Bombyx mori: one gene and its partners. The protein of the gene in region 1 binds, or shares a complex with, the protein of each later gene. Links are inferred from orthologs where the notes say so. Each region holds a gene or a part of one and is shown in the gene's direction. Other genes may lie near its edges. The genes, in order: DNA-directed RNA polymerase I subunit RPA2; DNA-directed RNA polymerases I, II, and III subunit RPABC4; RNA polymerase I-specific transcription initiation factor RRN3; Znrd1.

Region 1 (8,083 bases):
AACTCATGTTAATGTATATGGAATGCAAATAAATTGGACACTGTTACCTTTAAAGCCTAATTCTGTTATATTAACAAACTAGTTTTACAATTCTGGTCATCAAATAAAGTTTTAGGAGGAAGGTTCGACTGACACTTGAGCATACAAAGATAGTCATCGTGGCCTAAAGGATAAGACGTCCGGTGCATTCGTATATAGCGATGCAACGGTGTTCGAATCCCGCGGGCGGGTACTAATTTTTCAAATGAAATACGTACTTAACAAATGTTCACGATTGACTTCCACGGTGAAGGAATAACATCGTGTAATAAAAATCAAACCCGCAAAATTATAATTTGCGTAATAACTGGTGGTAGGACCTCTTGTGAGTCCGCGCGGGTAGGTACCACTGCCCTGCCTATTTCTGCCGTGAAGCAGTAATGCGTTTCGGTTTGAAGGGTGGGGCAGCCGTTGTAACTATACTGAGACCCTTAGAACTTATATCTCAAGGTGGGTGGCGCATTTACGTTGTGGATGTCTATGGGCTCCAGTAACCACTTAACACCAGGTGGGCTGTGAGCTCGTCCAATCATCTAAGCAATAAAAAAAAAAAAAAAAAAAAATTCTAATAATCACTAAATGATATGTTAGCAATTCATTGCCTAAAGCACTTTTAGAGCAATTTATATGTTAATCATTCACAGCCTGGGATCCTGATACTATGATTTCTATGAAATTATTATTTGAAAAGTTGAAATAAGGAAAACAGACCCTATAATTTAAACATTAAGAATCTTTATATTTGTTAATAGTGTAATACAGAGGATAGTTTGGTGGAGTCATAATGAAATTATTATGATGACTATCAATTTAGAAAGAAAACTTTTGTTATTCTAACCTTCTTTTTTATTACCCTTGTAACAGAGGAGCTTATGGTCACCTGAAAGTGGGGTGTAGTTCTGAATATTGTTTAAAAGTAATGCTTTATTTAAATTTGTAGTCTAAAATGTGTCATTTGGCTGATTTATCACCTGAAGAACTGATTGAGAAAAATGAACATGCTGATGAATGGGGTGGATATTTTGTAATAAAGGTTTGTAACTACCGTCATTTCAAAGAAACTATATTTTCAGTAAAATTATTGCACAAAATGTTAATAATTAATTAAGTATGTGTTAGTGATTCTGAAAAGAATCAGCGCAGGACCAATCATTTTTTAGAGGCTTGGAGGAGGCCTATGTCCCACAGTGGACATCTCTGGGCTGATAGAAGACGAAAAAGAATATTCTAGAAACCCACTGTATGAATAGATTCCCAATGCTGTTACTGCAGTCAAAACCACTGTAATGAGAGTGTCTGACTGAGGAGAAGCTATCGATTAACATGCAGCTTTTGCTGAAATAATAATTCTTCATCTCAAAGCTGACAGTTCATGATAATATTCAGTAGTCATTAGAGAAGATTGTTACTGCTATTGTAAGTCTTAATAAAATTTCAGTAATAATATGAAAGCCTTTCAAATGGCAACAGATGACTATCTCACAAACAATATATAGTTTACTAGCGACCCGCCCTCACTTCGCTTCGGAAACTGTAATTTATTATTGATTTCTCCACTATTTAATGGATGTTACTATATATATAAACCTTCCTCTTCAATCACTCTATCTATTAAAAAAAAACACATCAAAATCCGTTGTGTAGTTTTAAAGATTTAAGCATACATAGGGACAGACAGATATAGGGACAGACAGATATAGGGACAGACAGATATAGGGACAGAGAAAGCGACTTTGTTTTATACTATGTAGTGATAATGAACACTTGTTAATACTTAATACTAGGGCCATGAGCGTCTAGCCCGTATGTTGTTGGTTACACGAAGGAACTACCCTGTGGCCATCAAGCGGTCAGGATGGAAGATGCGAGGAAATCTCTTCTCAGACTATGGAGTATTAGTACGTTGCGTCACCTCCGATCAGACCAGCACGGTGAGTTGAATAAACAAGTAAATTAATTGTCCAAGACACATTGCTTACATTACTCGCTTGTAATAAAAAAAGAAATAGTTGTATATATTCCAGCATCAAACTCTAGCAAGTGACCCCACTGCTTACCTATTAGAACATCAGTCTAAGGATCTTCTTACATACACAGAGGGCTACTTGAAACACGATAGGTATAACTAGTGGAATAAAAAAGTACCTTTTTTTTTCCTACCTAAGCTGATAGCCTTGAGAGGCTATTTCAGCGTAATCTTAAATAGTAGGTGAGCTCACGGGGTTCAAACCTGACGACGTAGCTAATACGAACCCTAGCAAGAGCTGTGCTTCGCAGAATCTACCACCGGATCGGAAACGCGACCCACTGAGAAGATCCGGCGAGAAACTCAGTGGGCTGTGTCTGTGGGTTAATTTACTCGTCGAGCCCTTCGACGGGTTCGACGAGAACGATGACCGGTGCTTGAGATACCTAAAAGCACCGTTGGTGGATCGGGAGGATCCGAAAAGTACCTTGAACTTATCCTAGTAGGTGCTATTTTAGAATAACAAACCTTTGTTCTACCAAGCTAACTTTCTTCTACAGAACAATGTTCTGCATTTCCTAACGAATGGCACGTGCAAGCTGATGTTCTCGTACCGCAAGATGATGTACTACGCTCCCCTACTCCTCATAATGAAGTGCCTGGTCCCGTGGCCGGATCACTACATATACACACTGCTGTTGCAGCATAATAAGAATGATTTGTACTACGTCAAGTAAGTCAAGCTTGGTTCCTCGTTGGATTGAAATTGCATCAGATCTTCAATTTTTTTTTTATTGCTTAGTTGGGTGGACGAGCTCACAGGCCACCTGGTGTTAAGTGGTTACTGGAGTCCATAGACATCTACAACGTAAATGCGCCACCTACCTTGAGATATAAGTTCTAAGGTCTCAGGTATAGTTACAACGGCTGCTGGCTGCCCCACCCTTCAAACCGAAACGCATTACTGCTTATAGGCAGGGCGGTGGTACCCACCCGCGCGGACTCCCAAGAGGTCCCACCACCAGTAATACTGTTTCAGTTGCATCCAGAATATGCTCCGAGAGCTCCACGAGGAAGGTCTGCACACATCCGAAGAGTGTCGCCTGTACTTAGGCAAGATGTTCCGCTCCAAGCTGTACGAGCTGCCGCCCTGGGCTACCGAGATGGAGGCGGCCCAGTTCCTCCTGGACCGATGCGTTATGATCCACCTAAAGAACAACACGGACAAGTTCCACGCTTTAGTCTTCATGGTCCAGAAGCTCTACGATCTGGTTCAGAATAAGTGTAAGGTGAGGGTTCTAAAGGCCGCCGGTGTAGTGGTAAATGACATGGTCACTACACAAGGGGGTCGCGGGTTCGAATCCCGCCAAGGGAAGATATTTGTATGATAAATATAAATGTATTTTCCAGGGTTATGGATGTATCTTAAATATATATGTGTATAATAAAAATCTTACATTTATTTCCGTTATCGGGTACCTGTAATACAAGTTCTTTACGAACTCATCACGGGACCAGTTAACGTGGCATGAATATAGTAAATATTTATTTAACGCTCAGACACAGTCCACTGAGTTTCTCGTCGGATCTTCTCAGTGGGTCGCGTTTCCGATCCGGTGGTAGATTCTGCGAAGCACGGCTCTTGCTAGGGTTAGTGTTAGCAACGTCGTCAGGTTTGAGCCCCGTGAGCTCACCTACTAGTTAAGTTTACGCTGATATAGCCTCTCAAGGCTCACAGCTAGGGTAAAAAACAAAAAAAAAAACATGCAAACTGCCACTCTCGCTGAAGTGGATGAGTAATGCGCGCGATACTGACTGCTTTTGAGAAGTCTCTTGATGCCATTTCTGTATGACCTATGTTTATGGACATTTAGATACGAACTTAAGCTTTTGAAAACAACTCCCCAGTTTAACAACTTCTATGTCGAATCAAACCCAATTCTCCACAATTACACAATTTTACTGGTGATAGGACCTCTTGTGAGTCCGCGCGGGCAGGTACCACAACCTCGCCTATTTCTGCCGTGAAGCAGTAATGCGTTTCGGTTTGAAAGATGGGGCAGCCGTTGTAACTATACTTGCGACCTTAGAACTTATATCTCAAGGTGGGTGGCGCATTTACGTCGTCTATGGGCTCCAGTAACCACTTAACACCAGGTTGGCTGTGAGCTCGTCCACCCATCTAAGCAATAAATAAAAATTATCAAATCTTGGAAATTAGTAGCGGTACCTATTATATAATTGCATGATAATTCATGCTTCATGCAAGCTCCGGTCAGTGTAATGTCTTCTCTATTTGTTTTTCTCAATAAAGTTGCAATTTTATTTAAATATAATAAATATATTTGCGTGGTTTCAGGTGGAAGGAGCGGATGCTGTAATGATGCAGGAGGTGATGGTGGGAGGCCACCTCTACTTGCAGGTGTTGAAGGAAAGACTCCAGAATATTCTCAATAACGTCAGGATACAGATCCTTAAACGCGCCAAGACAACACATCGACTAGTCATCGGTCATGTGAGTGATGAGTAATTATATACATCTATACTTCTATACTAATATTATAAAGAGGAAAGATTTGTTTGTTTGTTTGTCAATACAATACAATAGGCTCCGATTTAAAAAAATCTTTCACTGTTGGAAAGCTACGGTATCCCCGGGTGACATAGGCTATCTTTATTATATTTTCAAAAAAAATTGTGGTCCTTATTGAAACTCCAATAATGTAACCCAATGTGTAAAAAAATTACCTAAAATTCTTTACATCGCGTACCCTACTTCCCAAGCGAAGCCGGGGCGGGCTGCTAGTGTTTCGTATTCCACAATTCATGTACACCAGTGATTATCAAACTTATTTCTTTTACCGCCCCCTTTGAAAATCAATTATTTTTCAGTGCCCACCATTTTTTATACACCTCTAAAAGTTAAAAACCACAATTTCACAAATAATACATCGCCCCCTAACCCACACCAACACCCCTCATTTTTTCTGGGCCCCTTAACGCCCCCTTCTAGGTTTCAAACGCCCCCAAGGGGGCGCTATCGCCCACTTTGAGAAAGACTGATGTACACGATTAAAAGCAAAATAACTTTCTCGAATAGAATTATCTCATGGTACTCTCTTTACTGGTGGTAGGACGTCGTGTGAGTCCGTATAGGTAAGTACAACAACCCTGCTTATTTCTACCGTGAAGCAGTAATGCGTTTCGGTTTGAAGGGCGGGGTAGCCGTTGTACTGAGACCGTAGAACTCATATCTCAAGTTGGGTGCCGGCATTTACGTTGTAGATGTCTATGGGCTCTGGTAACCACTTAACACCAGGTGGGCTGTGAGCTTGTCCATCCATACATGCAATAAAAAAATCATGTCGTAAGCTTGACATCCATTCTTTCAACCATCTAGCATACAGGAAGGCCGGTCAATTTATAAACAAACTAGCGGCTCGCTCCGGCTCCGCTCGGGTCTTTAACAAAAATTTCAACGATATGACGTTGTTTTATTTTTTTAAATAAAAGAACACTTATTGTGGCATAACTATAATAGTTAGACATATGCTGTGGCGACACTTTTTGTAAATAGTAATGTATTCTACAAAGTCGTGGTACATTCTTTTATTCTATCATCAATAGTTTTCGCAGGGCACGCGATGTAAAGAATATTTTAGGTAATTTTTTTTTTATACCTTTGGTTACATTATTGGCGTTTTAGTAAGGATCCCTAATTTTTTTCAAAAAAGATTATAGCCTATGTCACTCGGTAACAGTGTAGCTTCCAAGCAGTGAAAGAATTTTTCAAATCGGTTTAGTAGTTTCGGAGCCTATTCAATACAAACAAACAAACAAATATTTTCTCCTACTTACGCCGAAGGTTTTCGTCCCGCTGTACAGGGAAGAAAGTGTAACTTTTCCTCCCTGGGTACTGACAAGTGCGTATGCGCGTTAGTGTCTACGTCTGCTCTCACGCACATAATATTCTCTGCCATTGTTGTGCTCGGGTAATTTGCAATATTGTGTTTAGTGTAAAAGTGAAATAAACAAAAGGCAATAATGTTTATTATAATAATATTAAGTATAGAAATATGGTTTCGTTGACAGAAAGAGCTTCAACAAATCCTCCGCGCGTGCGGGAGTCTAGAGCAGAAGATGGAGACGTTCTTGGCCACGGGGAATGCGCCCTCCAGCAACGTCAACCTCACGCAGTACAAGGGACTCACCATCGTGGCCGAGAACATCAACAGGATGCGATATATGTCGCATTTCAAGTTAATATTTATGTTTTTTATTTATTTCCTTATTTAGAAGTCGTCGTGGCCCAAAGGATAAGACGTCCGGTGTATTTGTATAGGAATAAGGTCGTGTAATAAAAATCATACCCGCAAAATTATAATTTGCGTAATCACTGGTGCTACCACCAGTGATTACCTTTCCGCACGGATTCACAAGAGGTCCTACGACCTCTTGTGAATCCGTGCGGAAAGGTGAGTACTGAGCCTATTTCTGGCGTGAAGCAGTAATGCGTTTCGGTTTGAAGGGCGGGGCAGCCGTTGTAACTATACTGAGTACTGAGACCTTAGAACTTATATCTCAAGGTGGGTGGCGGTGATGGTTCCAGTAAACACTTAACATCAGGTGGACTGTGAGCTCATCCACCCATCTAAGCAATAAAAAAAAAGATTACCGGTCGTTTGCTAATAATGGCGTTGTGTGCTTAAGGTCGATTCACCGCGGCTCGTTCTTCATGGAGATGCGCACGACGGAGGCCCGGCAGCTGCTGCCGGACGCGTGGGGCTTCGTGTGTCCCGTGCACACGCCCGACGGCGCGCCCTGCGGACTGCTCAACCACCTCACCATGTCCGCGCAGGTCTGTCGCCCCCCGCCCGCCGCCCCTCGCCCCGCCGCCCCTCGCCCTGCCGCACCTCGCCCCGCCGCACCTCGCCCCGCCGCCCCTCGCCCCGCCGCACCTCGCCCCGCCGCCCCTCGCCCCGCCGCACCTCGCCCCGCCGCACCTCGCCCCGCCGCACCTCGCCCCGCCGCCCCTCGCCCCGCCGCACCTCGCCCCGCCGCACCTCGCCCCGCCGCACCTCGCCCCGCCGCACCTCGCCCCGCCGCCCCTCGCCCCGCCGCCCCTCGCCCCGCCGCCCCTCGCCCCGCCGCACCTCGCCCCGCCGCACCTCGCCCCGCCGCCCCTCGCCCCGCCGCACCTCACCCCGCCGCACCTTGCCTCCCAGCTGGGACAGCCCGATGTACATCCATGTTATAGTTCGACACGCAATGGAAAAAGCGCAGTTAACGCGTGAGGTCAATGCCCTCGTACGAGTCCCGAATGAAATGTCATCATCATCATGGCTCCAAGCCGGTTTTGGCAACGGGGACCAAAATTTTCTGTCCAATAACTTAAATGCTAATGTCCGCGCTTCTGATGCGCTCCAATATGGCTATGGTAGCTTATCTTGTTCTTAAACGTGCGCAAACAGAAGCTACACGTAAGAACACCACCCACGAAGTTGTAAAAAATGGTGGAACGAAATGTACAGAGTGTGCTGAATGCTGTCAACTCTTAATCCAAGACAATAAACTAGATGTGCGTTAGTGGTTTTATTTATCATATCTGTGGGTACAGCTTGGTATAAATCTAGGTGTTTTACCTACCTATTAGGTACCGTCTCGAACGATTTTTTAATCATACCACTCGTGCACTTTAGTTGCCGACTGTACATAAAAAAACGCGTCATAGCTTATTGTTTTTTCGGCAATAAATTAAAAAGGCACATCTCTGTTTCAGATCACACAAATTCCCGATCAAAAATTAGTGGATAATCTTCCTTTAGTTTTACAAAACTGCGGTAAGTTTCAATTGATAATTAAAATTCTCATGGGTTTTTGTTCTTCGAACACGACTTAATGAATTATACTAATTATTCAAGTAATGTTTAACTTTTAAATGACTACTACACATACCGAATCGAATAAATCGATTTTTCTTAACGGAATAGAAAAGGCTGTATGTCACATTTTACATAACATCTTATACCTTTAAACGAGCAATTCTTGTAATATATAATCTGAATCTCGGAAACGGCT
Region 2 (8,054 bases), on another chromosome or scaffold:
GTACCTTCCCGTGTGGACTTCTAAGACGTCCTACAACCAGTAATAAGTGTTGTACCACAGCATTTATCTCTATCTGATATCCATGATTATTTTGAAAGATTAATTATTGTTTAAAATTAATATATTGTTTATACCTGCACTCATGGCCACATTTATTGGAATTGCAGTTTGCACATGGAAAATGGCATCCGGGACACTTCTCATCGAGGCAATCACACAAGTCTTTGCCAGTTTCAGCAATATGACCGTGGTCATCATAAATTCTCTTCACTTTTCGACTGCAACATTAGAAATATTGACTATTAAATTGATGAAAATATATTTATATATATTACAAATTCAGACTTGAACGGATTCAATAGAATAGAAATTGTTTCAACTTACGAAGTGAAATATTTTTTCCTGTTTGCTTTTCTACGTTCACGAGCTGAATTTTTAGGATCAAAATTATCTAAGAAACGCATCTTTTAAAAAGTACATGCTACAAACACAAAATAATATTAAAAAAATATTCTCTTCCGCGCGTTATTACCCGAATACAAACGATATTTAATTTATTATTATTATTATTTATTATTATATATTTATCCGGTGGAAGATTCTGCGAATTCTGCGACTATTTTTGTTAGGCCTAGTGTTAGCAAATTCTCTCAGGTTTAGCTAGTGAGGTGAGCTCACCTACCCGTCGGTGAGAAGTACTGAGAAGCTGAAATAGCCAGCTGTAACCGGTAAACAATATATAATCTTACTCTATGCGGTAAACTTTGTGAGCAAATGACCTTGACTGCGCAGAACCGAATTTTAGATCACTTTGGTGGTGAGGGTGAGGCGCGACGGCAGGGGAAATCGTATCGAGCGCGTTGTTGGTAGATCAGTCGAACCTTGCGTCCCGCACCGCGCCCTCGTTCCCATAGATTATACACTTAATATATTTGAGACTCGTTCCGCTTGCTCCCAAAAGTACGCTTGCGTACAGTGAAAAGTCTATTAATATTAATCGTTGAAGTTATTTGTTATAATTATTATTGTTTGTTGATTTTGTTGTTATTGCTATTTGTTGAGTGTTTCTTGATTTTTTATAAAAAATATACTATGCCACGTCAAACTGGTGTAGTATTAAAAAGACAAGCTAGAAAAATGGTGTACGACGTATATTGCTTTCTTAAAAAGCAGGGAAATAATGATATGGAAACGGTAAAAGAGACTTCAGAGGCAACAAAAACATCAGTCAGTACTGTTAGGCGTATTATTAATGAAGCGAAGGGCTCTAACTTGCTCGCCGTGTTTCGTACTCCAGGTAAAAAAAGATCAGGGAAGAAGAAAGTTACCGGAATTGATAGTTTCGACCAATCTGCAATAAAAAGATGTATTCATAATTATCACATAACAAACAGCGAACTTCCTACCGTCGAAAGACTTCGTAAAAAATTGAAAGAAGATATAAATTTTAATGGCTCGGAACGAAGTTTACGACGAATTATGAAAGAGCTAGGCTTCAGATGGAAAAGAACAGAAAATAATCGGAAGCTATTAATTGAAAAAAGTAATATTCGACTACTAAGGATCGAATATCTCCAAAAAATAATTAAATATAGGCAAGAAGGAAGACCGATAGTGTACACCGATGAGTCCTATGTCGACTCATCACATGCAAGTGGTATGTCGTGGTCAGATGGATCAACTGGGGGTTTAAAAAAACCAATTTCGAAAGGACAGCGTGTAGTAATAGTGCATGCTGGCTCCGAAGATGGATTTGTTCCCAATGCCCTTCTTTTGTTTAAAGCTGGCACAAAATCTGGTGACTACCACGATAACATGAACTATTTGAACTACGAAAAATGGCTGCGTTGTCAATTGCTACCAAATCTGCCACCAAATTCCGTTGTAGTAGTCAACAATGCGTCATATCACTATAAACAGTCTGACCCCGCTCCAACTGCCAATGCCAAAAAAGTCTATATGAAGAAATGGTTACAAGAAAAAGAAATTCCATACGATGAAAACATGTTGAAACCCCAGCTTTTTAGCTTGATTAAAGCACATAAGGAACAACACAAAACATACAGCATTGATAAAATTTTATCAAACCACAACCATTCAGTGCTTCGCTTACCTCCATACCATCCAGACCTCAACCCAATTGAAATGGCTTGGGCAGCTATTAAAGGGTATGTCAGTAGCAAAAATGTCGACTGGAGCACTGGCAAAGTAATAGAGCTAGTGAAGGAAAAGGTCGCGGTGATGGGTGCTCCGGAATGGGGTAGAATATGTCAAAAGATAAAAGATATTGAGGCGGAGTATGTAAAAAGTGATCATGTGGTAGATTTAGTCACTGATGAGTTTGTAATTTTTGCTGACGATGATTGCGACACGGATGAAGAAAGTAGTGATGATGATGATGATGGTCATGATTATGATAGCGAAAAAACAATTAAAAATACCAGCTCAGCTTCAGCTGATCCAAGACCTGGCACCAGCTCCTAGTTTTGACCTAATGGAAGGAATATCTATTTTACCCCTAGATTAAATTACTACAATTATTAACCTGTATTTTTTGTTCATGTACTAATAAATATATAAATAAATACATATTATGTTGTTTTTAATAACTTAACATTTTTGTACGTAATTGTACGATGCGCGAACTTACCCCCACTACGTCAACTAATGCTCAAGAAGTTTGCCGAGTATTAAGCGAATAGGCAGGTGCAGGTAGGGAAAAAAATGAAAAAATATTTATTTCTTTGTTTACTATGTTTGTTTTTTTAAGGGATTTTATGACCTGGTAACTAAGACCTTTAGGTCAAGTCTTATTTTAATTTTAATGATAACTTTTTTATATGAAAAATGATATTATTAAATGAAATGAAGTTGATTATTGTGAAACATGGCATGAAATGAAATGAAAACGAAATGAAATGAGAAAATATGGGATGAAATATAATCTCAGTAAAATGGTGGTCATTTACTAAGATTTTTCAGTGGACTTTTTGGAGGATCCCGAGAAGTTACGTCCAGCGGCTTTGTTCCATTTTCCCACATTTGTGCACTTTCACAGATATTAAACTGCTAATAAACCACCATTATTACACATTTAAACCCGAAGAAACACTAAATAGACAAAATATAACAAATCACACAATATCACTCCTCGCGTTCCCGCCAAAAAGTCTGTTTTTCTATGTTTGGGAGCTTAATGCACAGATTAGCTAACTCAATCCATAAATAAAATGTAAAAAAATATGCCATTTATTTGCTTTACGGCTCACTGAATTTGGTCCCCTTTTTTAATTTTCGATTTTTTTAATTTTTAATTATTTGTTCGTCGTTTGTTCGTTAATGTTCGCGCGTAACAAAAAGGTAGTAAATACGGCCGTCGGCCATTGCCATCTGACTGACAAAACCGGCGCATGCGCAATGTAGGCGTGAGGTGATAATTTGCTTATTAGATATAAAATAATTAATAATTTCGAATTTACTTGTTTTTATGATCGAACAATCACCAATAGTCGTCGAACAAACAATAATTGATCAAAATTAATTAATCTGAGCAATAAAAACAAAGATATCTAGTAAGAGGGGCCAACTGAAGGGTGATCATTTGTTTAATTAATTATAAATAAATAAAAGACGAACAGATAATTTTACATTCAAACATTGACGATCAAACGACGAACAAATAATTAAAAATAATCCTCGGTTCCCCTCCAATGTCCCGATGATTTTTTCTTTTAAATTTCCACTCCTTTTTTTACGTATTTTTTTCTTCAACAAGACAAGCCCTCTTTTGAACAAAACGTTTTATGGTTTAAGTTCCCTTTGCGGCTTAATTAAACAAATCCAAAAACCATAGATTCTACACACAAAATAACAATCCAAAGCATAGATTATACACTTAATATAAAGCTTAAATCAAATTGGTGATTTAAAATAAAACACATTTTTTATTATTATTTAATTTTTCTCTATTTTAGCACATAATGGCTGACACAACTGGGAAAGAGCAATCAGTTACTAAAGTGCCAATGATATATGTTTGTGGAGGTACAGTGTAACCAAATAATAACAAAACTTCTATCACTTTGTAAAACACTAACACAAAATAACCTAATAATTGTTAGGTATCAGCATACCCCAATAATTGAATATTTTTTTTGTATTTCTTTTTCTCTTGATTTATGAACATTTTTTATAGAAAAAAGAAAGAAACTACTTTTAAAATGTTCTTACCGATAACACTAAGCTTGTCAATGTCTACTAAACAAAGAATTAATAAATCAGTTAATTTGTCTTTTGTGTATAGTAGATTATAAAATTATTCACACTGTCTTATAACATTGTATAAATTAAGGCGTTTTGTTTAATGTGTTATTGTTTTACTATATTTCAAATGGGGAATGCATCTGTATAAATATAAATGTTCTTTAGTAAAGCTAAAAGCCGTAAAAGCTTAAGTGCTTTTAATAAAACTTGTTAATATTAATATTAAAATTTAAAAAACCTAAACTTAAAAGTATTAGAAAAATGAAATTGATTCAATTGAGAGTAAATTATATTGTTTGCCCTTTTCTACATTATTGTTTTTGCCGATCATCTACTTCAACTGTTTAAATGTTGGTTTCTTTAATAAATGCAATCCTGAAACTATAATATGGGTCTGCAAAACAAATGATGCTTTCATTATCATTTTCAGAATGTCACAAAGAGAATGAAATCAAACCAAGAGATCCTATTAGGTGCAGAGAATGTGGTTACAGAATAATGTACAAGAAAAGAACAAAAAGACGTATCCTTTTGATTCTATAAATATATTCTTAAAGTAAAGATTATAGGACTAGGATACAGCCTAGTGATTTTAATCAGTAGAAAGGTATTGACAGGTATCACCCATATTTAATTCCTTCATTGTGGAAGTGATTCGTGATCACATTTCGAGAGTATATTTCTTTGGATATTGGTATATGCAATTTGCACATTTGCATGGTTGCACAGCTTGACACAACTACACCATCTGTTTTATCCTTTAGATCACATTGAGCTTGCAAGAAAATAAATGTAATAAATGAGTCGACTATTATCAAAGGCGGCAATCTGACTTTTGGACAATGATTGGTAAATCAGAAAAACGAATTATTGACTTTGTATTCCATTGGCAGTCACAAAACTCTTCGGAACGACATCTTAGATAAATAACAGGTTAACTATTAACCTTTATTTAATGCAGGTTTTGAACCGTATTCTTTGAAGGAGACGATTATATTCAAATAAATCTGTATTGACATATCAATAAAAAAAAATTGTCCAAATGTACAGATTGCCACCTTTGATAATAGACGACTCATATCTGTTAAAATCTTCAGAAAATTACCCTTTTTGTAGTTTGTGTTGATTTTAAATTCATCATATTTTTGTTCGTAATATTCTGAAAAATTTTCCTTAAGTAAGAATTCAGTGGTTGTGTTTGACGCTCGGTAAACGAATTCTGGAAACAAAACCCTAGAAGATAAGTTCGGTGGATACATCATGCACAGAAGAGTGAAATAAATTTATAATAAGGTTAATGTGTATTTTTGTTACTTTGTCTATGCTCTAATAATACTGACCAATGAAAAAAAATATATACAAGGTAGTTTTTTTATAGTAGATTTATAGATCTACATCATCACTTTACATTATATACTGGTGGTAGCCCATAGACATTAAAACATGAATGCCACCTACCGCCATGATATATGTGTTCTAAATTGTACCCAATAGATATAAGTAATCTGAATGATTTGAAGTATCAATCAACTTATTTGATGTTTCTAAATGAACTACTGCCTTAAAAAAAAAAGACTTAAGTGCAAGAAAAATATGTAACTTTATAGATAGATATCAAATGAGTTCATTATCTTTTTTTTTTATTGCTTCGATGGGTGAATGAGCTCACAGCCCACCAGGTGTTAAGTGGTTACTGGAGCCCATAGACATCTACAACGTAAATGCGCCACCCACCTTGAGATAAAGTTCTAAGGTCTCAAGTATAATTACAACGGCTGCTTCACCCTTCAAACCGAAACGCATTACTGCTTCACGGCAGAAATAAGCAGGGCGGTGGTACCTACCCGCGCGGTCTCACAAGAGGTCCTACCACCAGTAATTACGCAAATTATAATTTTGCGGGTTTGATTTTCATTACACGATGTTATTCCTTTAATCGTAAACATGGGTGGCGGCATTTACGTGTGACCGTTGGCCAGTTTTGCACACGACACCGCTAGTGGCGCCAGACGCAAAGTGTCAATATGGAGTACTTTCGTAAAACTTCCGTTAAATAATAACAACTAATAAAAAAAACAAAAGGGAAATATCTCAGTGTATTTTAATTATGTAACTTCATCATTATAAAGTTTTAACAATTTATTAAAATTATTACCTCTCATAATAAAACACCAGAAAATGTATGTCTAAAATTTTACAATAGCCACAAATATACATTTTTTTTCGATCCATAAAAACTATCAATAAATAATTGTTAGGACTCACGACATTAATATCAAATTTAATTTTTCACACATTCCTCTAAGTCAACTTTTTGCTTACGTTATATAATAGTGAATATAAACATGCTATGGGTATACACATGCATAAAGAAAATTTGAATAAAGAGATTTAATTCCATTCTATAGTTACCAACTCACTAATCATAATCAAAAAGTTTATAGCACATACAAATAACATTCTTGGAAACAAAATACAAAATCATGACAGTTTATGATCAAGTAACTTTACATGTTCTGTCTCGAATTTATATTATGTCCCAATTAGAGAACTATACAGATGACGTAATAAATTTCAATTTATCGGTAGTTGAAATATAAAAATTACATAGAAAAATATCAATTAAAAATCATTTTAAACTTGAAATAACTAAATGATTATCTTTAAAAAGCTTATATTTCTATTCGCAAGTGTTTTGAAAATAATAATTATGTATTTATTTAAAATCATACTAGTGGCTAACAGAGGAGATAATTTCATTGAAAAACTAATATGGAAATGAGCTATTTGTATTCTGTAAAATACGCATTTAAATATGTATTTATGGCTTTGCTGAATTAGTAGAGTTGACTTTAGCTACCTATTGTATCACAGAGTCCTCTTTAAATTCGAAGTCAGCTTCTTCATTAAAAACATTTGGCATTCGAGGACTAAATGTACATACATTTGTCATGTTTAACTTTCAAGCACCCATTATAACAAAGGGGAAAACCCTAGCTTGGGGACGTTTAATATGAAACGTTTAGTACCGAACCATTGAAATTTTATTAGATGGATTTAATCAGTTAGAACAACTTATTATTGTAGATAAGACCGCTTACAGGCCACCTGTGTGCTTAGTGCGAGCTTCTGAACGTTCTCGATAACGTAAAAGTTAAGCCAATTTTGTATGCAATTGGAACCGCCCCTAGCGGCAAACGTACGCAAGCGATCCCATTCCATACAAATATGACCTAACTTTTACGCTATCGAGAACGTTAAAAAAACTCGCACTAAGCACACTGGCTTAAATGGAAAAAGAGCCGCTCGCACAACAATGGAATAGCAAAGAATTGGAAACAATTTTATTGGATAGTGCGAGAATTATAACGTCGGATCACATTTTTGAGTAACATATCGAATTTTGATTTTGTTATTTAAATTGTAAACGGTTTGATCTTATAAGTAATGGTAAACAAGGGCAAGTAAAATTGATAGAGTCCCGTCTGTAATGAGAGATGAAAGGATGGATCATGTATGATTTAAAATAATGTGAATAATGACAATACCAGTAAATAGGCATTCAATTGAAATTATATTGAATATTATCATTTTTCTTTCATGCCAATCCGGAATTGGATTAATATTAGAAACATTATTTGTAGATGTGAATTATTTAAGTATGCATGTTATTTTGTTTAAAATATTTATTTTTTTATTTACCGCACTTTATGTCGCCTCTCGAGACTGATACGATTTATCGTTTCCGCTTGAATGTCTATTTCAACAGTTTTTTCAATTAAAACGTATAG
Region 3 (7,877 bases), on another chromosome or scaffold:
GTTATAGCCCAGAAAAGAAAGAAAGTGACAACAAGGCTGTTTTAGAGCGATTACAGTCTTATTTGAAAGACAAGAAAAACACTGACGTTTCCGACACGAGCGCCGGGTACAGCAAACCAAGTACGAGCTACGATCCGAACACAAATACTGTCCCGAACATAGAAGATAGTAGTAATATTTTACGCGAAGTACTGAACTACAAAAAAGCAGAATTGCTTCGGCAACCAGACGTAACAGAGTTTTTAAAGGCAATCACGAAAGACTTGAAGAAGTAATGGCGGTAGCGGCTAGGAAAAGCGTCGCGTCCTTGATGCAAAAAACTCTGGATCGCCAAGCGGCTTTAGCTCGTACTAGATTGAAATTCTCCGAAAAACAAATAGAACAGATACTTCTTAATTATGCTAAAACAGGAAACATTGGACCTTACTCGGAATTAGTCAGAGTTTTGAGAGATTACCCATTAAATGATGAGAATTTTCGGATTATTCTCGAAGATTGTCTCTCTTGCGTTCTGATTATGGGACAGGATTTCAAGCAGTTTGTAGAAGCAGTGTGCAATGTTGAGTGGGCTAGTAGGTGTGAAAAGTTAGTCAACCTTTTCAGCACCTTCATCATTAGCCTAGTCACTGCACATATTTACCATTGTCCGCAAGTGATGAGCTGTCTGGTTAAGGTTTTTAAAGGTAAGTTAGCAACACACAGTGGTAGTTCTAGTATACCTGGACAATGATAGCCACTTACGATTCATTGGTTTGTAGGAATTATGAAGATGTCATAAATTATGCTATTACATTATATTATTCTATAATTGTAATATTAAATATAAAATTGTTAAAAGACAAAGAAAATAGAAATGAACATATAAAATATATATTTATATGAACGAATAATCAGTAAATACTAATAAAAACATTGTGAAATATTGTGAAAGAATTTAACACATAAAAGTCAATACAAGTACTCTTTCAGAAATCTAGTAACATTTAAGATTTGAGATTTTCTTTTATTTCATATTCTTACTAATATAACTACTGAAATATTGTATTGTATAAAACTGAATTATATTATTATCATGCTATTAGTCCGTTACTTTTATTATAATGCTTAGATAGGTGGATGAGCTCACAGCCCACCTGGTGTTGAGTGTTCACTGAAGCTTATAGACATACAGAATGTTAATGCTACCACCCACCCTGAAACCTGAGTTCTAAGACTTAGTTTTTACAGTACATCAACTACCCCACCCTTCAATCAAAATACATTACTGCTTTACGACAGGAATAGGCAGGCAAGTGGTGGTACCTACCCACGCATGCTTACAAGTTTCTCTACTGATAGTAATTAAGGAAATTAAAACTTTTACGGGTTTGATTTTTATTACACAACTTCACTGTGGAAGTCATTTGTGAACATTAGTTAAGTAAGTAGTATTCCATCAGAAAAATTGTTACCAGCCTGCAGGATTCCAAACCAGCAGTCACAAGTTGAAGTATCCAAGATAATATTTAAAAAAAAATATTGCCTTTTTAGGCAGACTTACTTAATCTAATAATAATTTTCATAACATTAGTTAGAGATATATTTGATGATGACTATGATATTTTTAGCTAATGAAGAAAACTGGGATGACACTCCACCAACAGAGAAATTGAATAGCTGGTCTAACATTCATACAATCATAGGACAAATTATCGCAATAATGCCGATGTAAGTATTTTACGTAACTTTCTTTAAGGTTATGCTTCATATTACATTGTTTGTGGATGTTTATATCTATCTAACAATTTAAGTAATGTCAGGACTATTTTCTAATGAAGCGCCCTATATGTGTCACGATACATAAAAATTTATAAAATATTTACAGAAATCTTCAACAATTTGAATTAGAGTGGTTTGGGAATTTAATTATTTGAGTATGTGTATTGATTTAGCCCCAGTATTTACTCTTAAGTGAGTGGATATAGGCTAATATATCAAAATGCTTCATGAAGCATATTGATGATATATTTGACAACCTACAAAGGTTGGATGAGATATTTAATTGGTCAGATCTCATTATACTAAAACAGTTCCCTTTTTGGGAACTGTCTTCTGCAGCTAACTAAAAATGTTTGAATACCACAAGATCATCACATAGATGTTTAAAAAGTTTATGGGACCCACCATACTACTTACAAAACATTAGCTGATGAGATCATATTTGAGCCTTCTGTGACACACTCAAAAATTTTAATATAATACTTAATAATAAATGGGTCAATGAGAGACTGAAATTGTTCTCTTAAAATAACCAGGTGCACAGAGTTCTATCTGGCTTTATAAATGACTCTGGAAACTATGTTGTGTGATTTTGCACCTACATCAATCAATACATAGGCGGCACTGAAAATTTCGGGAATTAACGAAGTGACACAACATTACTATTTAAAAATGTATTTATTGCTTTTCGAAGTATTCTCCGCGAAATTTGACACATTTTTCCATACGATGGAACCAATCATTGAAGCAACCATTCCATTCGGAAGTTGGGGTCTCCAAAATGGCCGTTTTGTAGGCGTCCACAGCTTATTCAGGTGATGAAAATCTCTGTCCACGCAATTTATTCTTTATTTTAGGGAAAGTATAGAAATCATTAGGGCTTAGGTCGGGGCTGTACGGCGGCTGGTCTAATAATTATATGTTTTCTTGCTCTAAAAACTCTTGTTCGGTGCGCGGTGTGAGAACTCGCATTGTCGTGATGGAGGATGATGCGGCGGTTGCAGTTCTCTTTACGGAGTTCAGAAACGACCTGTGGCAAATAAATGCTAGCATACCATTCTGCATTAACCGTTCTTTGTCCCTCAAGAGGAATAGTCGTAACATGGCCGGTTTTGGAGACAAACGTGGCCACCATTTTTTTTGCAACACTCCGTGAACAAACAATTTTTGTTGGCTTTAACTCATTTTCGAACACACAAACTGGTGACTGGTTTTTTGTTTCGGGTTCGTACGCGTATATCCAGGATTCGTCACCTGATACAATGTTGTATACAGCATTTGAGGATCCTGCGTGGAATCTTTCGAGAGTTCTGACGCACCAAGTAACGCGAGCCGCTTTTTGCTCTTCACAGAGCGAATGCGGTATCCATCGGGAAAACAACTTTTTTACACCTAATTGTTCCTGCAAGATTATTTGTATTTGACTCATGCCAATGTCTAAAGTTGCCTGAATTTCGCGGTATGTCACATGTCGATCTTCCTCAATCAGCTTACGCACAGCATCAACGTTTTCTTGGGTGACTGCAGTTTTTGGACGACCTTGACGGGGATCATCACTGAGCTTGACACGTCCACGTTGAAACTCAGCAAACCAGCGATAAATTGTGGTTTTGAATGGGGCTTTATCACCAAATGCAGAAATCATCCGGTCAACACACTGTTTTTGTGTTAAACCACTTCGAAAGTCATAATAAATCATCGCTTTTGAATTTTCTCGAGTCAATTCCATTTTCTCAACGACTAAACAAGTTTGACAAAACCTCGTGACAAGACCGAGAATCTTTTTTTAAATAAATAAATGGTATTCGATTTTTAAAACCAAGGAGTTTTCAATTAAAAAGATTTTAATATGACAGGACAGTGGAAATATTCCATTCCCGATACTTTTAGTGCTGCCCTCGTACCATTGATTGAGTATTTACCAAAACTTTTCTAGAGAATCAGTGAAGAGCACTTTTGGAAAAGGGTTTTGGAAATGAAATTTCTAAACATATTCTATTTCAGTAACACTGAAATTCGGGCAATTATTACTGAGTGGGAGCATGAAATGCGGCTACCTAAATACAAGAGCTGAACAGCGATGGATGCTAATATTATCACTGAGCAGCTCAGTCTGTATTGCTGGTGCAGAATGCAAATGGTCACATGTAAGTGGACCAAAAATAGCACATACCAAAGTTGTAAACTGGTATGAAATCAAAGAAATGAATGGTGACCTTCTGAATAGAACCAGAAGGTCTATTCATTTCATAAAAAAATTACTGACAATTGGATGTTGCCACATTTTTAAGAAGATACAGAAGGATAATATGAAATGTTGGTATTCATTTACAATTACATAATCTAATGTAAGAAGTATATCCTTACTAAAAATCTTGAAAAATATACAAAAAAGCATTGTTTGGAATGATGGTGTTACTGGGATTCTCACTATTAAAATTTTAACAGATACATAGCATTTGACTATGCAATATAATGCATGAAACCATATCGACGCTTGAAAGGCAAACGTGACTAAGGACAATAACTGCTTTTTACATAAATGATAGGCAATAATAATATTCGATGCGCAAAAAAAAAATATTTCTAGGTCTATTAAAATCATTTCAATCCTACAGCTAGATTAGTTAAAAAAGATTTTTTTTTCAGGTATTTCAACTTTAAATTAGTTTACTGTAAAGTTCACTCATTGTCGCTTAGTCACGTTTGCCTTTCAAGGGTCGATATATTAGTGTGGCATCAAGAGAATAAAAATTTAGGCCTAAAAAAATCTATGTAAAATATTACCTGAATTGAGAAAAATTCAGGTGATGTTTACATTAATAATATTTTAACAAATAATTGTTTTAGGACAAATGAACTTTTAATGGAGACTGTGATAGATCAATTTCCATATCACAAAGCTGGTTGTAGTTCAAATAGATCTTTCATATATAACCTTATATGGATTAGCAAATACCTACCTTCACTTACAGAGGAAATTATGATGATTATTATTAATAGGTGAGTAAACAAAACCTTGTACGTACATATTGAGACATGTCATGCAGTCAGTCTAAATAACTAAGATTTATGAATAAGGTGTATGTAAGAGGCAGCCATTTTTTAAATTCAATCTGAAAACAAATTGTAAACTGATTATTTTAAGTTATAAATTTTTGTTAAAATCAATTACGTACTAGAAATAAAAATAGTCCTTAAACTTGTATGGCCAGGACATAATTTATTACAGCTCTCATTTTAGATTTAATCTTTAAAAGGTTAAAGATGAAAAATCAAAGTATTTTGAACAGCTAGCTACTTTAATGTTAGACGGGACCTTATGAATTTGTGATCCACAACCCTACAAACAGATTTCTGTCCAGCATTGAATAAGGCAGACCAGTGTTCTTAGTGTGAGTTTTTTACTGCTAGGAGCTGTTCTTACTGCACACAAATTTGGGCTAGCTTATGCTATTGAGAACGTAAAAAACTCACACTAAGCACACTGTTTTGTTTAAGTTACCTTTATATGTACTTATTTAATAAAATATTGTAGATAGATACATTAGAAAAAGAGCAAGCTCCAAGTTTCTTACTCATTCTCTTGTGATGCAGCTGTTTTCCAACTTAGCCATAATGTCATGACGATTTAAAAACACCTATGAAGGCCTACTTGAAATAACAACCTTTATGGTGGTTTAATTTTATTTGACATGCCACTTAGTAAAGCTCACATATTCACCTTATTTTTTTTTATTCAGAATGATAGTAATGGATGGCAATATAGTGGAAAGTGACAATAAAATGAAACAGAATGACACACTATTTGACATGGATGTGGAACAACATGATGACATCTCTGAAACCCTAGACTATAGTATGCTAGAAGTATTGCACTGGCTACAGGAAGAAAGAGACCCTATTTTGCACCACATGTGCACAGCTTTTGAAAAAATAATACTACCAACTTACGGAATCAGGTAAGAAAATATAATATACATTCTTACTCATTTTGTGTTTTTAAAATTCAAAAGTATAAATGAAAAACATGTAAACTCTCACATGCATACAATGATGAGGCTAGATGCTTCTTATAATGTGATGAGGAAGACCATATACTGAAGCTAATTTTATTGGAATTAAGTAGTGTGTATAGCATGATGTGTTTATGCGATAAATGTCTTATCTAGGAAGAATTTTGGAGGTTTATTTTATTTTTATCGTAATAAGTAATGATATGATATAAATATCTAATAAATATAATAAAGAATGGCAATGGAAGCGAATATCCTATAACTTCCATAAAGCAGTCCTGTTGTGATGTATATAATATACATTGTTCTAGCAGCTTCAATTAATAGAATAAAATGAGGTATATTCGCAAACACAGGATCTCATCAAATTTATGATCTTTTGTACAAATTTTTGTGAAATTTGTAATTTTATAAATTTTAATGTCATAAAAAATGTTAATCTCAATAAACTTGATTATTCCTTGACCTATATCTTTGTGAATATAAATGTTATACCTAATTTAAATTTACTCCAACCACTTACTCTACTATATCACTGACATGTTATGATTTATACTAATTATAATTTTTAAAATATAAAAGATTAAGGCATTTAGCTAAACAATTCCAAATAATTCATGAAGCCAAATACCAAACTATATTTAAATAAGCTTGTCAATAGATTCTACTGGAGAAAACAAAAAAAAACCAGAGAATTGGTTGAAAAAAGAGGAGAAATGGTATTAAACTGTAAATATTTAATGTTAATTTATGTAAATATTTTTATTCATTTAAATAGATTTAAAAAAATTGTTGCAATGCTAGTAATAAATGTGGTTCTTTTTTTTTAACCTGTCACAAGGATAATGTCAATGCACACAAGTGGAACACTTATATTTAAGTGAAATATGTAATGAAATTCACTATTTAAAAAAATTGGTAGCGTAGATACAGCAATCAACTATTTTAATATGACACTTTTTAAACATATATACATGACATTTAGTTTCAAAATATGCTAATCACATATTGTATATATTTTTCAGGCATGTTCAATTTTTACTGCTGTATACAATATCAATAAACCAACATTGCGCTGACCGAGTTCTCAACAATCTGTGGACAGTAGCGGCAGGGCTTCAAGGTCTAGGACCTGGTGCATTGGCAACAAGACGAACAGCTGCCAGTCATCTTGCAGGCCTGCTGGCTCGTTGTGTTCGAGTTCCTAACTCAAGATTAGTACAATTCTTGAAGACAATGACAGATTGGTGCCATTCCTACATCTCTGCAGCTCAAGAGTCCACCACTGTTACTGATAACATTAAAGCTCATGGAGCCTTCCATGCTATATGTCATGCTGTGTTTTACCTAATTGCATTCAAACACCAGCATCTGTTTATGAGTAAAGAAAGTGAGTATAATTTAGCATTCTATATATTAAAAATATTTATTTGGAATGTTTATTTATTGTTAAGTATTTTCGTTGTGCACCTTCAAAGCCTTTACTAAATACAGTCTTTTATTTGATGGATCAATATGTCATAACATTTACAGCTCATGAAATAGGGTTTTAATTTTCTGTTTATGGTTCAAAGGCTATTTTTAAGCTCAGTTCTAAGCAATCTACACAGAATAAAATCACATTTGTGAAGTATAACTGACACATTTACAAAAAGGTTATCTTTAAAAAAAAATATTTTGGTCACTTCTTTCAGTAATGGTAATTTCAGTAAAATATAACTAAATTATTAACAATTACAGATTTGTATAATTTATCTCTATTTAATATGATATTTATTTTAATATTTCAGGCTTAAACTTTGTGGAGTCTCTTAATCTTCCTCGGCTAGTGGCTTGCACACTGAATCCTCTCCGCACCTGCCCACCGCAAGTGACACGAGCATTTTCATCGGTGACTCGATCTCACCAAATTGTGTATTGTCAAGCTATTATTGAGAACAACGCGCGACACACGTTACAGTCTGCAGATATTTTGCAGTATGATGAATGGTTTCCATACGACCCTTATCAATTACCTAGGTAAATATACCCTCTTCTTATAACTCAAATGTATGGAAATTTGTCAAATAACTTACGACAGGCGGAGTGTCAGTAGTTTCTCAA
Region 4 (7,368 bases), on another chromosome or scaffold:
GTCAGGTCATAAATTCTGTCACATGTTTAATGTAAAATAATTGAAACAAGTTTATTCATTATGTAATCATTCATATACCAAAATGAACTTAACAAAACATAGATTCTTATGACACTAAAGTTTATTCAAAATGACCTCCGTGATTTTGAATACAGGCCTTCGATCTGCGCGGCCAGTCGTCTATCGCAGCACGAACGAGGTCCATGTCAATATCGGCGGCTGCATTAATCAAGGATGTCTTGAGTGACTCCAAATTGGGATGAGGCTTTGAGCACACCTTTTCCTCCAAGTGTCGCCATATCTTGTAATCTAACGGATTCAAATCTGGACTGGAGGAGGGCCAGTCTTCGTGCCGGATGAAGTCGATTTCACGCGCCGCCAGCCAGTCTTGTGTGCTCTTTACTCTATGAGCTGGCGCCGAATCTTGTTGGAATACCCAGTGCCTGTTATTGAACATGGTATGAGAAACAGGTTCCACAAGGTTCGTCAGGAATGTATTTTGATACACAACTGCATTGGTTTTTACACCTTTCTCACAAAAATGTATCTCTGTTAAGCCCCAATAAGAAACTCCCAACCATACCATGAGCGAGGATGGAAAATAACCTCGTTGGACACGCGGAATACGGTTGCTCGCTTCTTCACTATGTACGCTGCGTACACCTTATCATTTTGTTTGTTGTAGCTCTTTTCTACGGTAAAAATTTTTTCATCCGAAAAAAGAATTTCCCGATATTTTTTTCCCGCGTACCGCTTCAACAAAGCGCGGCATCTCTTCAGTCTCAGGTCCATTAGACGAGCATTCAAACGATGTCCTGTTTTTCTTCGATATGCCCGAAGCCCTAAATCTTCATTTAACACCCTTTTCACCCTGGTTCTGCTTAACCCCATCTGAAGGGCCAACAGTTTCTGCTTACGTTTGGGATTTCTTTGAATTCGCGCCTTCACAGCTTTTATCACTGCTGGAGTCCTAACAGACCGAGGGCGACCACTTCTTGACCTGTCATCTACACTAGAGTCTTCATTGTATCGTTTGATGGTACGATAAACGAATCTTTTGGTTATATTCAAAATTTTCAGTATGTTAAAAATTTGAATTGGCGCGTAACCGCAACGATGCAACGCAATACCTGCAACATGGTCTTCTTTAAGCGTCCACTCTATATTTAAAAATGAGTAAAATTCTAAAAGTATACATTTTTATTTTCATGAACAATTCGAAATTCGAATTCAATAAACTTTTTTTGTGGCCAGCATTTTAAAAGAAAAGTTTTTACTGTGTGACAATACTTATGACCTGACTAGGTATATGTAAAATTTTGTCATTAGTAAATAATTGTAAGGTAGCGCCCTCTGTGAATTGTTATTTTAATTTCACGTATAATCCTAAATTAAAATTCACTACAAGAACTTTCATACACGCGTTAGTATTAAAAAATCTCACAGATGGCGCTGTATTAAATAGTATGTATATTTCTGTCTCATTCTTTGCTGGCTTCATCCTACACATTTTTGTATTTGTGTCTCTTACCTGTCGTTTTATCCGTTGCATCCGGTTTGAAATCACAACGATTCTAAAGAAGTTTTCACTTCAAAAGACAGGCTGTCAGTTTGAGGGAAAAATGTCATGATATAAAAAAATGTGTTTTACGTTTTTAAAAGGTTCAAAGATAAAAATCAATTGATTGTTAATGTATACGATTTTAAGGTGCGTGTGGAATAAATAAATGCTTCCTATACTGCAGTTTGAGTTTAATCCGCAACGACGACAGTTGTCAACATATTTCCTAAATACCTACTAATCTATATATGAGAAACAATGAAGATGACTGATTTTAGAGATCCACTATTGAAGAATTGCGTTTATAATTTCGTTTATAGAGTGGAGTTAGTAATAGTGTAAAGAGCAAGAGCTAAAAATGAGCTGTAGTAGACTGTAGTGGTTATATCTACAGCTACTGGGAGCGTTCTGTAGTTCTGTAGGCATTGTCACAGACTGTGGTAGAGAGACAAAAAGTCCACCAAAACTAAAACGTAGAAGTGCAATCTTCATTATTTTAATTACAGCACGTCATTTCGTATCCTCCCGATCCACTAACGGTGCTTTTAAGCACTTCAAATCACCAGTCATCGTTCTCGTCGAAACCGTCGCTTGCGACAAAGGGCTCGGCGAGTAAATTAACCCACAGACACAACCCACTGAGTTTCTGGCCGGATCTTCTCAGTAGGTCGCGATTCCGATCCGCTGGTAGATTCAGAGAAGCACTGCTCTTGCTAGGGTTAGCGTTAGCAACGTCATCAGGTTTGAGTCCCGTGAGCTCACCTACTTGTTAGGTGACGCTAACATAGCCTCTCAAGGCTATGAGCTTAGGTAAGAAAAAGAAACAGTTACTGAACTTCATCTTTTCAAATTTTAGTTACAAGTGATCTAATACTATCAGTATGGGCTATGTTTCCTTTGTCAATTGTCAAACAGTTAAAAAAAATTGTACGTAAGTAATGAATTTATCATTATAGTAAAAAAAAAATAGGTTTTTGTATAGCAAATACTTAGGGTATGTATACACTAAAACTGTCTAAAACCCTTCACAAAAATATATAGTATGCTTCATATTGGTTTAAAAATATATTTTGGTTATGTTTAGTACTAATAGATAAAGATTTAAAATAACCTAATATTCTAAACAAAAATACACAACCCTTTTAGTGATAATTGTGTTTACTTTTAGAAATAATGTCCACTGAAAGCCCGTTATCAACTAGTACAGCGTTTTGTGCTCGCTGTGGGTCCATATTACCCTTGCTACAAGAGTTTGGCTCCGTGAAATGCTACACTTGTAAAGCACATTATGAGGCTGATAGTAAGTATATAGTTGCCAATGAAAAAATTACTTTCATATAAACGGGATACGATTTTTCAGCGTTATGCTTTTGTATAATTTTCGAATATTCACTATTAAATTTATAATAAATAAAAAAACTTTAGTGATACTTATGAAATCCAGAAAGAACCTGTTGTATTTGTTTTCGAAATATAAAATAAAAACTTAAAAAAATGTTTTATTCAGAAATTCTTTTTTTACAGATTATAGTAAAATGAAATTTCAATACACAATACATTTCAATACTATATCTGTGATCACAAATGAGAATATACTACATACTGATGGTCCTGAGGGTCCAGTTGTGGAGAGAAAATGCGCTAAATGCGGTTACGACAGAATGTCATATGCAACTCTACAGTTACGATCGGCCGATGAAGGACAAACAGTTTTCTACACATGTATAAAGTGCAAGTATGTAAATTACAATATTTATTTGTATTTCGATGAGCAAGTCATCAATATCTGTACTTGTATTAAATAAAATTGGACCCTACCACTAGCCTAAGACAGGAAAATAATTGCAACTTGTGGCCAAATTTCCTTGGTAATATAAAACTGGACATAATAATGATCTTGTAAGCAACTACTATCTCAAAAATAAAATTATTTCCTAATTTAAAAAAGAACACATCGTACAAGATAATATCGTAAAGTATTATTTATTTTCAGATACAAGGAAACTGAAAACTCCTAAAGGCTGCTTTATACTAGTTTTAAGGTTGTCAAAGGAAAACTCGGCAATAGAATCATTGTATCAGAATCACTTTATGCAAAAATCAGTTTTACTGATTGTTTTAAATTAGGTAAATTTAATAAGGATTAAAATTAATCACCATGTAACTGGTGCGTAATTTTAATTCCATTTCTTGGAATGATAACTTTTAAACTGTAAATTCTATACTGATTAATCTTAAAAACCATGTTTTAAAAATTACATGTAATAGAATCAAATCTGAATAATTGAAATTATAAACATTTGTCCAAATGTTTTTTTTATGCTGAGAAATACATTTCTATTTTTAAATAATAAGTTCAATGAAAGTTTCTTTTTCAAAAGGTTTTATTTCCATGTTTCTAAAACCATAGCAATATTGAAGAGTTTTATGCAACAAGTTTATTTGGATCTTAGTGTAGAAGATTTACATTTGACAATTTTTGATAAACTTATAATACACTACTCAGAAATAATTCTATGTAGAACAAGCTCGGCCATATTAGTTTCCTACAGTAAGCATAATATGCCTGTATAACAAAAGTACACACTGCTAATCTTCCATAGTAGAAGTCACTGGATTCTGTAATACATACATATTTATTAAGGAAAATTTTTACCTGCCTCCTAAGGCCTTATCCCTTGATACTAACACCAGCACAATCGCTTGATACTTGTAAACCGGCATCGTATCCTATAGACCACAACAACATCAAGTGGGCTGTGAGCTAGCGTAACCATACAATGAAGAAAAATAATCGTAGTATTGGCAACAGTGTCCGTTGTGAATGATGTTTTAAAATGAGATTTTGCTCTAGAAATGTGGGCAGAAGCTATGATGTGGTTGTTTTAGATCACTTACACATTCTCAAGTAATAACAGTGCCGTGTCAATTGCTGAGCACCTGAGGTTTACTCAAGGCAAAACAATATTCATATAATATGTCATTACATAGAAATTCCAACTTTGAGTGAGAAACTTATCATTATTACATTTTCCTTTAGCACATTGGTTCTCAAATTTTATGCTCGTCAAATCTAGATTTTGGTAGTGATTTGAACAATTTTCCAAGTGGTCTTAAAGCACAGTCATAATAATCTGCTAGTAATCTAAGACTATTAATAGTAACGAATCGACACTTCCAAAGGCATACAATTCATACGGCGGTAGTAATATCTTGCATGTGTTTGTTTTGCCTTACAATATTATTCTCACGTCCAACTAAGAACAACTTATATTAAAAAAAAACAATTTAGCCAGTAATGGTTTTGAACAGCAAAAACTTAAAATATTGTTTCCTTAAATTGTGAGACTTTTCATAAACAAATTACAATGTTTTGTCACAAGAGAAAATAATGCTATGTGATTTTGAACGCGCTACAAATAAAATGTAGTTAATTATTAAATAGACCAAAATACCATTCGAGATAATAAACTTTTAAAATAGACATTTTAATGGTAGGCAGCGGCTTGGCTCTGCCCCTGGCATTGCTGACGTCCATGAGCGACGGTGACCACTTACCATCAGGTGGGCCGTATGCTCGTCTGCCTACAAAGGCAATAAAAAAAAAAAAAAAAGACAAAGCTAACAAAAAAATGCCTAACAAAATATATATCTCATTAATAAATTATGCCAATAAATTATGCCTAAACTACAATATTTAACAAATAAATTAAAATGAGGTTTGCGTGATCAAACCGGCAGCTATCTACGAAATACAATTTTTATTATAAACAATCTAGGCTGTCGTGACGGTTGAGAGCCGCTGTCTTAGCCTATTTCTAGAGTACTTACTGTCAATTGTCAAACGTTTGTTTCACACATCAAACGATGCCGCGCAACAACAGTTCATTCACAAGCCGCAGGTGAAACCTACTTTTCACATTCAATACACGCTACCTTCCGACGAACGAAGTCTTTTTTAACGTGCCAGAAAAGGATAGGTATATGTTTCAACTGTTTTTTTTTAATACTGACGGAAGGGTCAGCTTGGTTTTTCGGCTGAGAGCTGGTCCGAGCCGAGATGAGGCGGTAATTAATTTGATCATTCGATGTACGTTGCGTACGAACGGATTAGTGATGGACACAGTCGATGAACTTATATTATCGAAATTAATATGAAAGTATGTTCATGGTAGACACAATTAAAAATACTTCTACAGTTTAGCATCGCGTTCTTTTTTTTCTCATAAAATTATTTTCGACGTTTATAATACTTTAAATATTTCATGGTCACGGACGACTAAGAGTTGCCGCGGAGATTAAAGTAATTTTAACTATTATAAAAAAAGCAATTGATTTTATAAAACACAGTTCGATATAATCGTTAACAGACCTTTATGCGGTCTTCCAGCGACAACAAACTGGCTTTACCGGCCGGTATCGAACATGAATCTCGCCAATCACTGCGGGCTCGGATCGTGTTTCAGCTGTCAAGATCAAACCTACACGCGGCAGATAAATGAGTTTGCTTTCCCCTGTCATTCAGAGCTTGCCGCGTCCTGCCGCCCGTGGCGACTCCTGCAGCGCGAACAAAGCCTCGCCAGACTAAGAGCAACTATAAAATTAAAATACAAAACCTAAATAAGATTTTTAGGTTTACCAATTAATCAAATAAGTTTACCAATTTATCAATAATCGTTGCGTTATTTTCGTCAAATGTTCGGGATTAAAAAAACCTGCATGATATATAGAGAATGATCTTATGCATAATAATAGGTAAAACGTCGTAAATAATCTCTGTTACATTAAAATTGTTTCATAATTAAAATCTGTGTGACTAAAATCGTGTAGTAATAATGAAATCTGATGAAAATTTATAGTTTACGTAATTAATACACGATTTTGATGTCGACCATAAGACTTAGGATGAGGTATTAACATTTGTGATATCTGTTAGCTACGGTAAACATTTAACACAAACGGTAGTTAGCTCGTTTGCCCATAAAATACCTCAGCGTTTGATACCAAAAACAGTAGGGAAACCGCTTAAAGAGGCGACTCGATTCCTCGAATTAAAAATATGGCTTCGTGACGTAAAACCTTAAGTAGGTACCTCTTTATGCATTTATTGATCGTTGAGTCCATAGGGTGTACTATTAGTTTAAACATGAAATAGTACAGCCCTTAGCCCTCAGACACAGCCCACTGAGTTTCTCGTCGGATCTTCTCAGTGGGTCGCGTTTCCGATCCGGTGGTAGATTCTGCGAAGCCTCTCAAGGCTATCAGATTCGGTAGGAAAAAAAAGTACAGCCATATTTTTTGCTTGATTTTTGAATCTGAATGAAACCCAATTGAATGGTAGAACAAATTTCCAAAATCCATGTTTGCTTATTTATTGCTTAGATGGGTAGACGAGCTCATGGCTCACCTGGTGTAAAGTGATTGCCCGAGTTCATAGATAACAACAACGTAAATGCCACCTAGTCTAGAGTTCTAAGTCTATGTTTTATACATAGTACATACAACGGCTGCCCCGCCCTTCAGACCGAAACGCATTACTACTCCAGAGCAGAAATAGGAGGTGGTACCCATACGGTCTCACAACACACGTAACTACTTGTAAGGATATTTATTTATCTATCTAGGCCTGATATGAATCTAAAATGAAGTAATATAGGTAATTTATTTATCGATAACATCGACAAGTGACCGTCACTAGCTACGGTAGTGCAGGTGCCAACCAGACGCGACGGCGCGCCAGTCTCCCGCGGCCGTTGTTCCGACAGCACGTCAATATCGGCGATCCAACTAATTCCACATCCATCGAC

The links.
Region 2: the proteins of DNA-directed RNA polymerase I subunit RPA2 (region 1) and DNA-directed RNA polymerases I, II, and III subunit RPABC4 are in contact, whole or in part, in a cryo-EM structure (PDB 7OBA), measured with the Homo sapiens proteins. The link is inferred for Bombyx mori from reciprocal best matches to the Homo sapiens genes POLR1B and POLR2K. Residues at the interface, in NP_061887.2 of Homo sapiens: Val87, Ile92, Cys93, Lys94, Glu95, Val98, Ala101, Glu102, Gly105, Arg106, His159, His160, Gln704, Asp705, Val793, Phe794, Gln805, Asp808, Asp809, Asp810, Leu812, Pro813, Phe814, Ile815, Gly816, Ala817, Lys818, Leu831, Val848, Asn851; in NP_005025.1 of Homo sapiens: Met15, Tyr17, Gly20, Glu21, Ser30, Arg31, Asp32, Pro33, Ile34, Arg35, Cys39, Gly40, Tyr41, Arg42, Ile43, Met44, Tyr45, Lys46, Lys47, Arg48, Arg51, Val53, Val54, Phe55.
Region 3: DNA-directed RNA polymerase I subunit RPA2 (region 1) and RNA polymerase I-specific transcription initiation factor RRN3 share a complex: the UniProt entries of both Homo sapiens proteins name them as parts of the pol I pre-initiation complex. The link is inferred for Bombyx mori from reciprocal best matches to the Homo sapiens genes POLR1B and RRN3.
Region 4: DNA-directed RNA polymerase I subunit RPA2 (region 1) and Znrd1 share a complex: the UniProt entries of both Homo sapiens proteins name them as parts of the pol I pre-initiation complex. The link is inferred for Bombyx mori from reciprocal best matches to the Homo sapiens genes POLR1B and POLR1H.

What each region holds. Positions count from the first base shown.
Region 1 is NC_085132.1:2,352,573-2,360,655, forward strand, and holds part of DNA-directed RNA polymerase I subunit RPA2, read left to right. Parts: intron 1-979; coding exon 980-1,072; intron 1,073-1,823; coding exon 1,824-1,970; intron 1,971-2,565; coding exon 2,566-2,738; intron 2,739-3,044; coding exon 3,045-3,294; intron 3,295-4,364; coding exon 4,365-4,520; intron 4,521-6,097; coding exon 6,098-6,264; intron 6,265-6,715; coding exon 6,716-6,863; intron 6,864-7,784; coding exon 7,785-7,845; intron 7,846-8,083. UniProt on the Homo sapiens protein: Catalytic core component of RNA polymerase I (Pol I), a DNA-dependent RNA polymerase which synthesizes ribosomal RNA precursors using the four ribonucleoside triphosphates as substrates.
Region 2 is NC_085111.1:12,246,846-12,254,899, forward strand, and holds DNA-directed RNA polymerases I, II, and III subunit RPABC4, read left to right. Parts: upstream 1-3,787; 5' UTR 3,788-3,980; coding exon 3,981-4,044; intron 4,045-4,693; coding exon 4,694-4,786; intron 4,787-5,452; coding exon 5,453-5,475; 3' UTR 5,476-5,625; downstream 5,626-8,054. Other genes in the region: ARL14 effector protein-like, read right to left, coding at 135-278, 385-464; uncharacterized protein LOC119628526, read left to right, coding at 1,816-2,484. UniProt on the Homo sapiens protein: DNA-dependent RNA polymerase catalyzes the transcription of DNA into RNA using the four ribonucleoside triphosphates as substrates.
Region 3 is NC_085116.1:3,273,503-3,281,379, reverse strand, and holds part of RNA polymerase I-specific transcription initiation factor RRN3, read left to right. Parts: 5' UTR 1-274; coding exon 275-683; intron 684-1,607; coding exon 1,608-1,707; intron 1,708-4,608; coding exon 4,609-4,761; intron 4,762-5,501; coding exon 5,502-5,720; intron 5,721-6,799; coding exon 6,800-7,164; intron 7,165-7,564; coding exon 7,565-7,793; intron 7,794-7,877. UniProt on the Homo sapiens protein: Required for efficient transcription initiation by RNA polymerase I (Pol I). Required for the formation of the competent pre-initiation complex (PIC).
Region 4 is NC_085112.1:11,751,072-11,758,439, forward strand, and holds Znrd1 (transcription-associated zinc ribbon protein), read left to right. Parts: upstream 1-2,728; 5' UTR 2,729-2,729; coding exon of another isoform or gene 2,730-2,734; coding exon 2,735-2,861; intron 2,862-3,085; coding exon 3,086-3,296; intron 3,297-3,554; coding exon 3,555-3,579; 3' UTR 3,580-3,870; downstream 3,871-7,368. UniProt on the Homo sapiens protein: Core component of RNA polymerase I (Pol I), a DNA-dependent RNA polymerase which synthesizes ribosomal RNA precursors using the four ribonucleoside triphosphates as substrates. Can mediate Pol I proofreading of the nascent RNA transcript.